Pelodiscus sinensis: one gene and its partner. The protein of the gene in region 1 purifies or fractionates together with the protein of each later gene. This does not show direct contact. Links are inferred from orthologs where the notes say so. Each region holds a gene or a part of one and is shown in the gene's direction. Other genes may lie near its edges.

Region 1 (7,831 bases):
CCTAATCTCCAGTTATTCTAAAACTGGAAAGTCCAAGAAGCTAGAACACTTAAAAGCTTTAATTAACACATGATGTTTTGCACAACCCAAGACTATTCATAATATTTAATACAAACCATGGTCTGTATTTCTGTTCTGCTCTTAAAACGTGGAAACACACTGTGGGCCATAGCAATTTAATCAATAAGACTATTCAACAATTTATTCCATGATGCAAAAACGAGCCTTCAGCCTCCCAACACTCAGATTGCATCATTTAACAATTAATGCCAAAGCAAGAAAAACTATCATCCCAGAAAACATTTTTTTAAAAAGAGCTTGTTTTCTTTAAAGCTCTTTACAACCATCAATAACTAGCTCTCTCAAAACATTTGTGAAAGAGGTATTATTACTCATTTTACAGATGGGGACAAAGACAAGCACAGTAAATTGGTCAGCGACTATCTGTGCCAAATTAGATCTGAGGAGATCTTGGCTCTTTTTAAAAATGTCCTCTTCAAAATATTATAGACATTGTTTAGATCAGGCACAATGTAAATGTAAGGACAAACATCATTTAGCTATCTAGATTTTCATTTTTCAGATAACATCCTGCTTCTATTTGTTTTATCCAAAAAAGTTAGTGATGTGCAAAATTGGGATAGATTTACCTTTCCTTTGGATCCTGATCCAATTGCCACTACTGTTGCTTGTAGCACTTTCCCTTGAGATTTTTCTGGAAGCATGATTCCTCCTTTGGTTACAGTCTCAGCTGCACATTTTTCAACCAGAACACGGTCAAATAAAGGAAGAAATTTCCTAAATGCTTTCCCAGCCTGTTGAAATAGAATTCAATATTTTTGTACTGTACAGAAAAGACCAAATCACTTTGGAGACTGCAACAAAGTTGCAATCCAAAATACAAGATTTTACTATTTAAACAGCAGAAGCTTCAGCCCTTCCCATCCTCCCTAATGGGCCCTGCGAGATGGGAGGTTCAGTGCTGGCCAGTCCCAGAGAGTGGAGAAGGGTGCACCCCCAATCAGCCCCTTTCACCTGCCTGGTGAGTGTCTCTTTTATGTATGGTTTTATGAGAAGTGATCCCATTCCACGTATACCCATCCCTTATGTTGGTCCCAACTCTTACCATCTAGGAGATCTTGAATAAACAAACTCTAAAATATATAATAATATATTAACTATATTACAAACACTGCCTCTTTGCTGCATGGAGAAGGAACAGAAAGCAGGAGGGGGAGCGGGTGCAGCTGAGGATGGAGAAAGAAAACCCAACACTGAGAACTGCAATTACTTTGAAGCTAGCAGCAGGCAATAGCAAAGGTTACCAACCTAGGGCTGTTAAAAATGTCAGTCTTAACTACTGAGCCAGGAGGTAACAGCAGTGTTTGAGATCACAGAGTGCAAGCCACATACAAGTCTGCAATCCTTGCAACTTCACTAAGCAAGTAACACAAGAAAGGGAGCCAAAGAGAGCCAGAACACATTTTAGTTTAAAAGCAATCAAGTTGTTGCATATGAAGAATTGCCAAGTCACAGGCTGCTGGCTTCCAGCACCATTCCAGTTGCTTCTACAGATGTCAAAGTGCCACAGCCTGGACACGTGTAGAATCAGCTAGAAATACAGAGAACGCACAAGCCCGGATCTCTCCCTTAGGGGCTATTGCTACACAAAAAAATAAATTTGGAAGCAGGATGCGGATATGATTGCCAGATCAAAAATATTCTTAAAAGTATTAGCGAACGTTGGTTCATCCCCCAGTTCTATTAAGACTTGGGCAAGGCTATCAACATGTTGAAAACATCTAGTTTAACCAATTGCATAGATTTAAGAATTTGGGGTCTTTTTATACTAACTTATGTTCTTTTAAATCAGTGTTTTCTGTGACAGGAACGACCACATACTAAAGGGATCAACAAAAAAAAAATAGAAAAAATTAGAAAGGAGTTTTTTCCTCCCGCTGTGGCTGTTGGATTTGGCATCGTCTAAAGACACATTACAGAGACCTACTAATACGAGCTCACTATCGCTTTATTAAGTTTGAAACAAAATACAGGACTGTGTAGCACTTAATATCACTGTATTAAGTTTGACTTTTAAAAATAACTTACTGTCTCTCTTAGTGATAGAAACGGTGAGAGAACAAACGTATTTGAAAAAGGTCATCCTTGCCCTCACTGGTTCCATGGCTTAACATGATTTGATCTGAGGAAGTGGGTCTGGCCCACGAAAGCTCATCATCTAATAAACCATCTTGTTAGTCTTTAAAGTGCTACATTGTCCTGCATTTTGCTTCAGCTACCCCAGACTAACACGGCTACATCTCTACCACCATGGCTTAACAGTTTCTGCGGTATTTACATGACCTTGTGAGCAGGCAAGGTCAGGCTCAGGGACAAGCCAAGAGACGAAACCCAGCCCAATTATACTGTATTGATTAAGAAGACGGTTCCTGGGCAAGTCCCAGGCCAGCTGGGAATGAGGGTTCAGGGAGGCTCGCTGCCTGTTCAGCTGCTAGGACACGTTTCCATGCCCAGGGGCTCCGGGCCGACCCAGCGGATGTGCCCGGGCGATCGCGTGTCGCGTCTCGCCCCACTGCGGTAACCCCCCCGCCCCCCGGCCCCGCGCTCAGCGCCGCCGCCCCCCGGGCAACCCCGGGCCCCGCAGCCCCAGGGCGGCAACTGGGGGGTGCCCAGAGCCGCCGCCCCCCCACTGCGGCCCAGGGGCGGGCCCCGGCAGCACCGCGCGGCGGGACGAGACGCTCACCATGGCGCAGCGTGTCCCTCCCGCTCTGCGACTGAGCGCCCCACTGACCCGCCGCGACTGCACGTGGGGTGGACCACTCCCGCTGCGCATGCGCCTCCCCCTCCCCTCGAGCGGCGCGCGCCGGAAGGCGGGGCTACTTCCGTTGTTCCTGGGAGACAAATGCTTTCGGCACTTGTATTTTTTTACTCTCGCCGGCAGTTTCCGCACGAGAACCGGACTCTCTATGCGGCGATGTTAAACGGCGGCCTCAGTACCGCCTCGTTGCGCCCGGCAGCGGACGAACATCCGGAAGTGACGCAATACCACCTTTGACCTGTGGCGAGCATGAGCGTTCCAGAAGGTTCTGGAATGGGGAGGCCCCGAAATCTGTATGATTCACACGCTAGGAAGCGGCGGGCGCACATAGGGCGCGAGGTCTCGCAGGCCCCGCCCACGCCCCGGCTACGCGCTTCCGCGATTGGCGGGAAGCCGCGCCCCGCCCCTCGCCGGGGCCCGCGTATGCTGTTATGCGGCTTGCGGGGCCGCGCTGCCCGGGACCCACATGGGCCGCTGCGTGCGCGGGGGAGGGGCAGGGCTGGCCAGCGCCGTGTTCCCTCCAGGCTCCCGTCAGTCCCGCCGCGCGGCTCGCCAGCTCCCAGCCCTCCCAGCGCAGGTGAGCGGCCCCTCACAGCCCCTGTCCGCCCGGCCCGCACGGTGTGAGCGGCTCCCCGCCTCCTGCGCGCGGGCTGGGGGGAGGGGAGACCTTCGCCTGGGGGGGGCACGTGGCGAGCCTGGGGGGGAACGTGGGGGGGGGGGCACGTGGCGAGCCTGGGGGGGAACGTGGGGCGGGGGGGCACGTGGCGAGCCTGGGGGGGGAACGTGGGGCGGGGGGGCACGTGGCGAGCCTGGGGGGGGCGTGGGGCGGGGGGGCACGTGGCGAGCCTGGGGGGGGAACGTGGGGCGGGGGGGCACGTGGCGAGCCTGGGGGGGGCGTGGGGCGGGGGGAGACGTGGCGAGCCTGGGGGGGGCACGTGGCGAGCCTGGGGGGGGTCGGGGCGGGGGAGACGTGGCGAGCCTGGGGGGGAACGTGGGGGGGGCACGTGGCGAGCCTGGGGGGGGTCGGGGTGGGGGGGCACGTGGCGAGCCTGTGGGGGGGGGCGGGGGAGACGTGGCGAGCCTGGGGGGGGGGGCAGCGTGTTCCCCGCTCGGCTGCGCTGCCCCCGCCCCTGGCCCCGCACGCGTGGGAACCGGCCCTCGTGCCGTGCCTTCCGCTGCCGGGCTGCACGCTGCCCTGAGCCCGTGGCCGGCTCCGCTCCCTGCCCGCCGTGCAGCGCGGCTCGGCAGCAGCAGGGGGCGAGCGCCTCTTGACCTTGCTGTGTCCTGACGGTGAGAACCGTGCGGGGGGCCGGGGCTTTGCTGACTCTGCCGGGCTGTTGCTACTGTTGCAGCTTTTGTGCTAGTTGCTAGTGACATGCTCTCGCCCTGGGACAGCGCGGGCTTGGCTTTCCCTGTCGCGTGCCCCTTGGGGAACGGGGACTTCATTTTGGGGACATTTCTGCTGATAAAGCTGCTGAGCTCTGACCAGCCTTGTCTATAGTCGTCCCGCCCACTCTGGGAGAGAGAAATGCCCCTTTCCCTGTTCTCTAACACATAATAGTGCTGTGATAAAACTCATTGTCACCGTGGCTGTAATCTCTGCATGTGAAAAACAAAATGAACATCACGTTCTGGTGAGCTTGATACACTTTATTCACATTTTACAGACTAAAAACGGAGCTGCAGGAGTTGTGACTTGCCCAGGATCACATAGCCTGTCACTGGCTGAGCTGGAATTAGAATCTAGGATTCCAGGTGGCCGGACTTTCGCTCTGGTATCCAGTGTCTAGTAAAATTAGGGTACTGAATATTTGTTAGGTCACAGCTTTCATTTAAAACTCAAGAACTATTAGTAATTTATTTATTCCTTAAATTTTGGGAGGAATTTGAGGACAAAATGTAGGAATAAGGCTGTTCAAAGGACTGTGACAAATGAAAACTAACGTGGTTGTGTTTTTTTATTTTAATTTATGCTTCAGAAATGCTCCGTTTATCAACAGTGCTACGTCAGATGAGGCCAGTGTCCAGAGCACTGGCCCCACACCTACTACGGACCTATGCAAAAGATGTTAAATTTGGAGCAGATGCTAGAGCTCTTATGCTACAGGGAGTAGATCTTCTAGCAGATGCTGTAGCTGTCACCATGGGACCAAAGGTATATTAAATTATTTTTTGTGTAATGTGAATTCTTGTTCAGTACAGCCCTGTTTTATAAACCAGTTGGGGATTGAGGTATTCGTAAAGTAAAAAATGTCATCAAATGGACCATTTCAAAATTATAGTAGATACAGTGCATAAGTTAATTTATCAGTCATTAAACCACTGTGTGCACAGAAATAGTAAATGAATAATATGCCAGACTCTTGTTAGAACTTAATCTCTGTGCTGCTAAATTAGTCTTTCCAGCACCATACAGGCACTTAAATTTTGGCTGGACAATTGTTCAGTGGATGGAAGATGACTTATGGCAGGATATATTTATGATGGTTAGTATTAATGGAATGTTACTGTTTTAGAAGTGTCATGTTCAGAACCCAGTTCAGTTTAAAGTAATAAACCCAATTTCATGTTGGGAGGAAGCTAAGTACTCCCATCACACAACATAAATGGTTCCCCACGAGCAGCCTACTGCTTCAACCTGCCATGATGGAGAGCTGCTTCAGCACTGTTAGGCAGCCCCTGGTGACTGATGCTGGCAGCTGGAGTCCCACTTAATTGGTTAACCAGTTGATTAATCTGTTATTGTTTAGCTGATTAATCAGGATTTACATCCCTAGTAAATAGCGTGGCTTATGTGAACATGCAGTGTTGACTATAATAGAGGTAGTTGAACAACCTACAACAAATTTAGGTTTTCAGAGTACTAGCTGTGATGTTGGAGCAAGACAGTAATTTTGGATAGGGGTTGTGTTTAACGCAAGGCTTTGGAGATCATACACCTCTCCTGGGCAGAGGTTATTGACCTGTGGACCACTTTGTGCTCAATCAGCATATAGCTGTGGTGCAAGTGACACCCTCAGGGCTATATAGGCAGTATTGTGTATCTATAGTGTGTGGCTGTGACCCACAATGGCGATAGGTTGAGAACCACTTCTCTAGCGAGTATAAATCCAAAGTTGGGGTCTCTGTATTGGGTTTCCTCCTGATTTGCCCTGGTAAACCATGTAACCGCGAACAAGTCCCAAGGATATAATAAAAGGAGTGGCTGTTAGGTGAATACACCTTTAGGCTCAATTCTGCAAGTGTTTATCCTAGTGAGTAATCCCATTGCATGTAGTTGGATTACTTCCATGAATAAAATTATACACAGTAGGTCTCTGCAGGATTGGAAGTGTGTGTGTGTGTGTGTGTGGGCGCGCGCGCATATAATTGAGTTATCTCCAAAGGTGAGTGTTTCATTACTCAACACTCCTTAAATATCTATCTAATCTAAATTTTTTCATGTGGGATGACAGTGATGTCATTATGTCACTACGTCCTGCTTACCTCCTCCCTCTCTAGTGCTCCAGATGGGAGCCGGGGCTGCCACCGCCTGGCCTAACACCCTTTCCCCGCTGGCAGCTGGAGGAAGAGAGCCAGGACTGGTGTGATGGGTGGGAGGAAAGGGGGTAGGCCAGGGCTGCCATGCATCAACCTGGCCCTTCCCAGTGGCTGACCCTGGCTGCCTACCCCCAGAGAAGGAGGGTTGGCGAGCATAGTGAGCAGGGGATGCAGCCCCCTAGTTCTTTGTAAACAAAAAATGTCAGCTTGAGAGAAACCAAGTGGTGAGGAAATTCTACTTAATTTGTGTCATGGCTTTTAAAAAATAATCTAAAAACCTATGTAAGACTAGGTTTCTCAAAGCAGTTACTCTGTGTTAATGGAAATGGAATTGGTTTGTCTTCATGACTGACAAGGTAACCCCCAAGCCATAAGCTGCGCTGGGGGGGGGGGTGGTGTGTGTGTGTATCTGAGTTTCTTCTTGGTCCAGCCATAAAAGTAACCCTTATTTCTATGTTCAATTCAAAGGCTTAACTGTAAGAATAGTATTCTAGTATTTGTTCAGTAATCTGCAGACTCCTCATAACACCATTCTCTCCAAAATCCTAAAGTAGAGGAGGTTCTCAGCTCCCCCCTCCCCCATTCTGGGATATCATCTGTCATGTTCCAGAACTCCAGTCTCCAGGCCATCCACTTGAGAGTTCCCACATTTGCTTCCTTCCTCTTGACTATTCTCTGGTAATCCCAAATCAGGTCTCCCACGTGAACTAGCTGAGTTACTCACGTAGGCCTTCCTAAATTCTTCCTGCTTTTGGGAACCATTCTGTTGCATCAATCTTATTGGTTTGGATTTGACTTTCCCTAACCAGGCTGGCTCTTCCCTTTGTTTCTAGGGGCCTCTGCACCAGCTTTCAGCATTGGCCAGTCCCCATCAGTAATACTCTTTAGCTTTTGTTCTTCCCAATAGCTCTCTGCACCTGCTCTCCTTTGCTGCTTCTGTTTCTGCATCTGTCCTTTCTTCTTGATCCGGCTTTCCTGACTTCGCTTTTATGTAGCTCAGGTGCCTTTTCTTAACCCCCTTTGGGAGGCAACTAATCAGTAGGTGCCCGGGCCCTGCCCCCTCTTAAAAGAGCTAGTCACTCCGTGATAGTTGGAGGTGGCACCTTCTTAGCTTTTTCGAAGAGCAAAAATGTAACACATATAGGAGAATGCCTAGTTCCTCAAGGTGAGGGTTGACAAAATGATGCAAAAAGTGGTAAAGTGCCAACAACATAGTATTGTCTGCATTGGAAGTTAGGTTGGTAGAACTGGTTGTGAACTTTTCACACCCCTGAGCTAGTGATGTGAGCAAGTAGTTGAGTTCTTGGCTACCAGATAAGGCTAAGTGTAGCCGGGAGTCGAGTATTTGACTACTTGCTTCCCTCCACCTGCTTGCTGCCTCTGTATGAGAGGCAGTGGGTGGGGCAGGAGCTGGCTTAAAAGCTGGTTTCCTCCCCCAGCACCAGCTCTATG
Region 2 (7,482 bases), on another chromosome or scaffold:
TGCTGAGGCAGGATCAAATAAACTTAAACCATCCCTGACAGCTTCTGTGCAGCCTGTTCTTAAAAACTCCCATTAATGGGGATTCCACAACTTCCCTTGGAAAACCCATCTGTCAATGCTCCAACCCCATTGTAATTTAAAAAAAAAAAGTTCAACTAAAAAGCTAAATAAAAGATACATAATACTCCTTAGCTATTTGCCAAACAACATACATGATGCTAAATTCAGTGCATCACCAAAAAGTTGCAGTGTGACACAGAAACATCAAGACAAGGTGACTCAAGGGTTTTTTCTAACCCTTCTCACACGTAAATACAATGACTGGCTATGGGTCACTAGTGGTGATAGTCATGCAGTAGAGGCATATGCCACTAGCATCTCAGCTAAAGGACTAAAACTAGAAGAAACAGTGTTATATGAACTATGCAAACACTCTCCATTATTCCAAATGGAGCTGGATTTCCAGGAGATTGGACTATGATGATTAAGAGAGATTACAGAGGAACTCAATTCACAAAATTCAATAACAAGCACACAAAAAGAGGGGCTGCCTCTAATAGCTAAGTGAGGCCGAAATAAATGAACATCCAGATGAACTGAGTGGGTTCAAGCAGACAGAACCTAAATGCCAACTAATCTCACCTTTGTGACCTGCAGGTCCCCAATGTTTAACTTCAAAGCTCCAATGGCTGTTTTACATAGAATCACAGCCTCATCACTACTTTTCACCTGCAACCACAACATAGTTACACATCAGAGAAACATAACGGTTCCAGCCACACATGCAACTACTGATATTAAATTAGCATAACTTGTGATTTAACTAAGGTTGTGTTTCTTGTGGTTTTCCCACATCAAATTCATATTCACAGAGAATTATATGTCTTGAAAAATGCACCTTCACCAATATAGCCATAGATGTAAACATGTCTGCCTACACAGCCCTACATATAGACGTAAAATGTATCAGCCATTTTACTTAACTGTGCCTACAAGAAAAAAAATGGATTTCACAAATACCTTTTCTCGAGTCTTTTCCAGGAAAGTAAGGGCCACATTGGGATCTAACATGGAGCAAGAAAAAAAGACCATATTTAGGATCTAAGCAGCAGAATATTTGAACCTACCAGAAGCACCTTAACTGGCTCTCCAGAACTCAGAGCTAGATTCTCTGGTGGTAAGAGCCATCATACCTCTACTGAAAAGTTATCTGGTCAAACATTATGTTCAACCAGTTAACCAATTAAAGAGGCTTAGGCAGGAGGCCCCTCTCCAGTCCCATGGTGCTGGAGTTGCCCCCTCCCAAGGCCAGGCTGGATGTCCCTCCTACACAATAGGCAGGGAGTTGCTCCAGCCACCAGTTAACCAAAATTGGTAAGCACCACCCAAGGGTGATGCTCACTTATAAACCTTTCACATAGCTGGTATGAATCAGCATTAGCAGAGGATCTGGCACCATAAGCATCACCCATCTCTCTAGCAAGAGTCTTTTCTGCAACAGCAATTTGACCATTAGCAGTAAAATTCTATAAGTTTATGCTTTTTACTCTCGGTATTGTGCAAACCAACTGCCTCACTCATATTGAAGTCTTAGCTGTTGCCAGCAGCCAGTTAAATCCTATCAGCCCTAAAAAGTCACCATTAATACTAGAAAAGTTACTCACCTGTCATCTGTCTAACTACATGAAGAATGATCTCTACCAAAGACAAAGGGTTCACCCTGAAATGAACACCACAGCATCAGAAAAGTTACAATTAAGAGTGCACAAATGACAAACTTACATACAAGTAGCCAGTCTCACCTGTGTTCAAACTCACTGATGAAATTCTCATAAAGCTGCAGGCAATAAAAAAAATTGACAGCCAGTTAGTGACAGGAGAATATTTCATTATAATGAACTAGGCAACTTGCCCATCACTGCACATAAAACTCCCTCAAATAAAGTAATTTTGTATCCACAGATGGAAAAGTCTAAAGCATATTGACACTAGACTTCAGAAGTTAAAAATTGCCAGAGTCTCCTCCTAACAAACTGTGGAGGTTGATTCACCAATTAATAGATTCATGAGCGACAAGTTGGTACAAAACTAGTCTCTACCAAGAGTGGATTACCTTGGCATGTTCACTCCTCTCTGTTATGAAGGACAACTATTCCACTAAGTAGCTATATAGTCAATAGATGCATGGCTCTTTTGGCATCTCTACACTCCTCTCTAAACATGAATAGCTCATTAATTTCAATATCTATTTGGTGAATCAATTTGATATAAAATGCAAAGGAGAGAAAAATGAGATGTAAGTTCACGGATCTGTGAGCTGCATTCTTAAAGATGACAATAAACCCAACTTGGAACAGAGGAATGAAATCTGCACGGATACCTGGAGTTTGTGCACTCTCAGGAAAATCATTCTGTGTGCATACACAGTTAACCTTTGTTGACAAGGCTGAAGACTGGCCTTTTTTAAAAAATAAGGTGAACCAAATTAAGACCTGTGAAAACTTGAAACTCTTCTAATTCCATTCCTCAGATTAAGTGCCATCATTTTATGTAATCCATTTCTAGCTTTAGAATTTTTATAAAACATGGCCAGATTAAACCAAAACCTGCATATAAGATCCAATCCATAAACTTCTAAAACTAATACATTGTATCTGTTTGTTGACATTTATACTCAGACCTTTCCAGACACACATGGTGTGCAGTTAGGAAGCTTAAAGCATGTTTTCTGATTTCACAATGCTTTGGGGCAGGCCTCCACACACTTATTTGATATCAGCCTAAGAAAGTTCATGCTATTCACTAACACTTGCTTAAGAATTAACCAACTCACCTTGATGAGTCCATCTCCTTTAGCAAAGCAGGGGTCCTGCACAAAGTCCAACACCTGCAGAGTAAGCTGGTGCCAAAGTCTGAAAAAAACAAAAACAAGGAGGCCCCTGACATTAGCAAGCATCAGTGCAATAAGCAAAAAAAATAGACACCTACTGAAATACTGAGGCAAACACTATATAACTAATTTCAGCTAATCTATAAGGACCAATTTAAAGGCTCATTTATGACTCAATTTGCCTGTGGTTCAGAAAAAAGGTCAAGACCTCAACTGGCCAGGGCCAGCAGAATGAAGCTTAAAACTATTCTAGACCAGACTTCATTTTAAAAACCCTTTCCTCATGCACAGATCAGAGGAATAATAAAAACCTGAGTGCTGCTTTCTGAAAAAGTTCTCAAAGAGAATCAGCAGTATAAATCAACCCTCATGACATCTTCTTACCAGTGACGAAACAAGTAGCAAGAAATCAAAAGGAAAACACCAATGTCTAGCCCATTTTCAAAACACTCGTCAATTACTTTTTAAAGACTGAAGTATGGGTTTCAGGTTCTTCAATCTGACATTTTTTGTTGTTTCAACAATTTAATTTTAAAATATAGGAAAATGTGTGTCTCTGTCTTTGCTATGAGCAAAGATGACAAACAAATGAACATCAATAGCACCTAAACAATGAAACCATATATGAAGTGTGGTCAGAACAAAACTGAAAAAACATCTCAAATTTGCTATAATTATCACACATGTTTCCTGTAACTACTATAAGTAAAAAGACACCAACTAAGACCGTGGGCGGCTTTACATTAAAGGTCTCTTTTAAATTGGAGATTAACTGAACAGCACAGGGTCACATAACTACAAGGGGGACTGCATGACTTGAGCATCACTATCAGGGAGTTTCCAACTCTCTTGCGCTGACTCCTAACAACAAAAATTACTGCATGACCCCAGACAGGGGACTGGAGCCTGAGCCTACTCATAGTCCCGAGCTGGGGCAGCAAACCTGAAGCTTTTGGTCTCGGCCCTGATGCCCAGCAAGCCTAACACGAGGCTTGGCGACCTCATTAAAATGGGATGCCCCCCCCCCCCCCCCACTCTGGAGGCCCGAGCCAGAGTTTGCGAACCCCTGCGGGACCTCTGGCCCGCAGAGTCAAGGCGCGATGCTGATGCTGCACCGAAGTGCTGGGGGCGGGGCCTGTGCGCGCACAGGGGGTTACAGGACGAGCCCCCGCCCCGGGGGTCTGGGGCAGGGAGCGTCTCCGGGCGGAACAGAAGCCCCGACACCCGCTCGCTCCAACAGAGCGCTCGAGCCGCCCAGCGCCCGCCAGGAGCCAGGCTCGCGCGGGGGGACCGACCCACCCCGCGCCGGGGAGCAGCCCCCGCCCCCGCCGGCCCGCTCACTTCTTGGTGTAGAGCTCCTCCAGGCGGTGCCACACGGCGGCCTGGCCCGGCCCCGAGCTCTGGCTCTGCTGCAGGAAGCCCGGCACGTCCTTCATGATGGCGGGGAAGGGGAGGGTGAGACCGGGGCGGGCGGGGAACGAGACACCGAGACCCCACCACGGAGCAGGAGGCCAGGCCACCCCGCTGCTGCCGCCGGAAATGCACTCTCACTTCCGGTAACTGCTTCCCCCCTGTGCGCGTGCGCACGCGCGCGGAGCATGACGGGTACCGTATGGCCTCGCGTAGCGCAGCCCCTCAACTCCGCCCTCTCGGGGGAGAGGTGGGTGGCCGAATGCGGGGAGCTCGCTGGTTGCCATGGTAACATCCGCGGCCTAGGCTTTACAACGCGGAGGACACGCAGCCCACGGGCCGGGTGTTTCCCTCCCCGCAGCGGCTCCGTGCCCCCGGGCAGGGCCATAGGGCCTCGCGCCCAGCCCCAGCGCTGGAGCCCACCCCACCAGGACGTTGCTCGCGGAGATCTCCGGGCCTGGCTGGGGGGTGTCTCGAGATTCCGTCCTGCCCCTGCTAAACACGCGTGGGGCAGTAACAGGGGCGACCCCCCCCCTCCCCCAGATCCCTCAGTGTAACGGCAGCGATTTGCACTAGGGCCGGGCACGCGTAACCGTGTCCACGGGGTCATCGTTTGACCTTCCCGGTTACAGCGTGGGAGCCAGGTTAAAACCCGGCTCCTGAGGACCCCCGGCCTGTAACCACTCGGGTTTGTCAGGGGTTACCTAGGGCTGCCAGGTGCCCGGCTTGGACCGGACTGTCCAGTATTTCAGTTTCTGTTCGGGAAGCAAATTGCGGAAATAGAAATGTCCGGTGTTTTCTCAATCAGATGGGATGTAGATTGTGATGCAACCGCAAGTGTGTCCGGTATTTTTGTTGAAACCATCCGGCGACCTTAGTTACGTGTTTGCATAATTGAACACGTTTTAACATCCCTGATGTGGGCCATGAATGCGGTTAGTGTGGCAGGGTTTCTCAAACACCCCGATGGACAGTGCACCCACTGTGGTGGTGGGGTACACAGGGGTCACAGAGTTCCCAAAAAATAAAACAGCTGCTGAAGGCTGCACTTTACACCTGTCTTACCAAAGCTGCTGCTTTCAGTTAATGATGCCCCCCCCCCCCCCGTTTTTTCAGATCACTTTAAAGCACAAGATGCTTATTGAAGTCCCACAATCTCACCATACTATGTTCTGAAGACCAACCAACACCTTGAAGGTAATTGAAAGTAATGCTAAAAGAAACAAATTGCAGTGTTTTAACTTGAAATGCCAAATGTCTTAAACTTTTGAGGAGGTGACTACACAGAGACAGATAGTTGATTTGTCCCCTGTGCCTTCTTAGGCTAAAAAGGAGGAAATCCTAGTGCATTTATTAACAACTCAATGAATGGAGGGAAGAGTGCAAGCATGACCTCAGTGGACAAATACAAAGAAGCTTAAAAGGGCAGCAAATACGGTTGTATGACAGAATTAAAATAGCGTAAGAACTAAATAAATTTTTTAAATGGCATAAAATCAGCAAAAAGAGGTTCAGCAGTTTCATGTAGGGAGGAATAATCAAATACACAGGTTTAAAATGGGAAAATAATGGCTTAGCATTAGAATTGCAAATGGGGATCTCTGAGTAATTTTGTAGATAATAAAATGGATATGAATCAATGCAAGGGGAATATTGAGGTACTGATAAATGGATAAATAGGCTGCCTGGATTACAGGCCTAAATTAGGAATGGTAACACTGAAACCTGAATAATAGGAACCCATGATGTAGTAGGAAGGTACTGAATTACTGGAGCTGTCACCTCTTTACATAACATCAAGGTTCAGACAGGCCTGGTCATGAAAGATGTGGGCTGTATTTTGAAAAATTTGATGTTAATTACAATGTCCTGGCCATTTCTCATCCAGAATATTGTTTTTTGCAGGATTTATATTCTGTATTACCAGTTGTTCATGTTTGAAAATCATAAAGAGGGCCCCCAAAATCACAAGATTAAAGCCAGTCCATTTTGGTTTCTTTTTAGTTGTCTGCTTTTTTGGGTGCTCTCAGATCTGATTTCCAAGCCTTTCTCCACTACCATGAAGGCCAGAAACATATTTTTAAAAAAGTGGAATTTTCACTTCATCACATGTCTCCAGCATCTGAGACAGCTAAAATATTATGAGACTTGTAATGAAATCATAAGAGTTTTGGCAATTGTCGTTCCTTGACCTAAAACAACATTGTTGTATATTGCAGTTAGAGCTGAAGGCTGCTGTGCACTACAGGCAGTCCCCGGGTTACGTACAAGATAGGGACTGTAGGTTTGTTCTTAAGTTGAATTTGTATGTAAGTCGGAACTGGTACATATTGTAGGGGAAACTCTAGCCAAACATTTCTCCAGAGCTCAGTTTTATTCTCCCACACCTCACTTCCCTCAGTCCTTTATTCTCAAGCTGAGGTGTCTGCTGAGGAAAGCCGCTCCACGTCTCCCTGGTCTGCTGGGGGGGGGGGAGCGCTAGCTTCACTTCTCCCTGGTCTGCTGGGGGGAAGCAGCTAGTGCGGGGTTGCCTCACCCCGTTTGTAAGTAGGGATCCGATGTAAGTCGGATCCATGTAACCCGGGGACTTCCTGTACTCCATTTTAGTGGTTAGGTGCATGAGCTATCTGTACTGTACACCGTTTGTACAAGTGACAGCAACTGAAAAGACAAGCTATGATTATCCGGAGTCTAGTATGATCTGCTATGGGCTCTTCTATTATGGACATTGTGGTAAAAGCCTTTCAGCTGTTCTGCCTTGCTAAGGATCACTATAAGCAAACAGATTGTTGCTTTCCCTTGTGCTCTCTGCCCTAGAACCCTCTTCTCCAGCCCCCTGGTCAATAGTGCAGCAAGATCAAGGGGAATACAGGAGATAGTGGCAGCCCCTTGCCATGCTTCTTGTAGCTAGAAAAGCATTTATACATTAGGGTCTCTAAAGGGAGAAGCAGGGAAGTAGCTACAGCAACCTCACTTGTTCTCGTCTATAGTGCAAAAGTCTCCACTTTCTGCCACAGGACAAGTGAAGGGGAAGAATGAGTCTGGGGTTACGATTCAAAGTCCCGGCTGTTAGAAATGGGCTTCCTGCTGCATGTCTTCAGGGATTCACAGGTAAGCAGCATATTCAGAGGGATTGAAAATTATTAGAGGGTGGGGAACAGGTGGATTTGGAAAGACATAGG

What was found.
Region 2: the proteins of HSPD1 (region 1) and SIRT3 purify together in Homo sapiens (affinity purification with mass spectrometry; 3 studies listed by BioGRID and IntAct, counting the BioPlex papers as one, with this or other methods). This does not show direct contact. The link is inferred for Pelodiscus sinensis from reciprocal best matches to the Homo sapiens genes HSPD1 and SIRT3.

Annotation. Positions count from the first base shown.
Region 1 is NC_134717.1:71,507,571-71,515,401, reverse strand, and holds the start of HSPD1 (60 kDa heat shock protein, mitochondrial), read left to right. Parts: upstream 1-4,820; coding exon 4,821-4,994; intron 4,995-7,831. Other genes in the region: MOB-like protein phocein, read right to left, coding at 651-815, 2,765-2,854. UniProt on the Homo sapiens protein: Chaperonin implicated in mitochondrial protein import and macromolecular assembly. Together with Hsp10, facilitates the correct folding of imported proteins.
Region 2 is NC_134714.1:124,537,634-124,545,115, forward strand, and holds the start of SIRT3 (NAD-dependent protein deacetylase sirtuin-3, mitochondrial), read left to right. Parts: upstream 1-4,466; 5' UTR 4,467-4,588; intron 4,589-5,416; 5' UTR 5,417-5,497; intron 5,498-7,046; exon of another isoform or gene 7,047-7,290; 5' UTR 7,291-7,335; coding exon 7,336-7,411; intron 7,412-7,482. Other genes in the region: PSMD13 (26S proteasome non-ATPase regulatory subunit 13), read right to left, coding at 643-729, 1,021-1,064, 1,665-1,720, 1,803-1,837, 2,834-2,912, 4,232-4,326.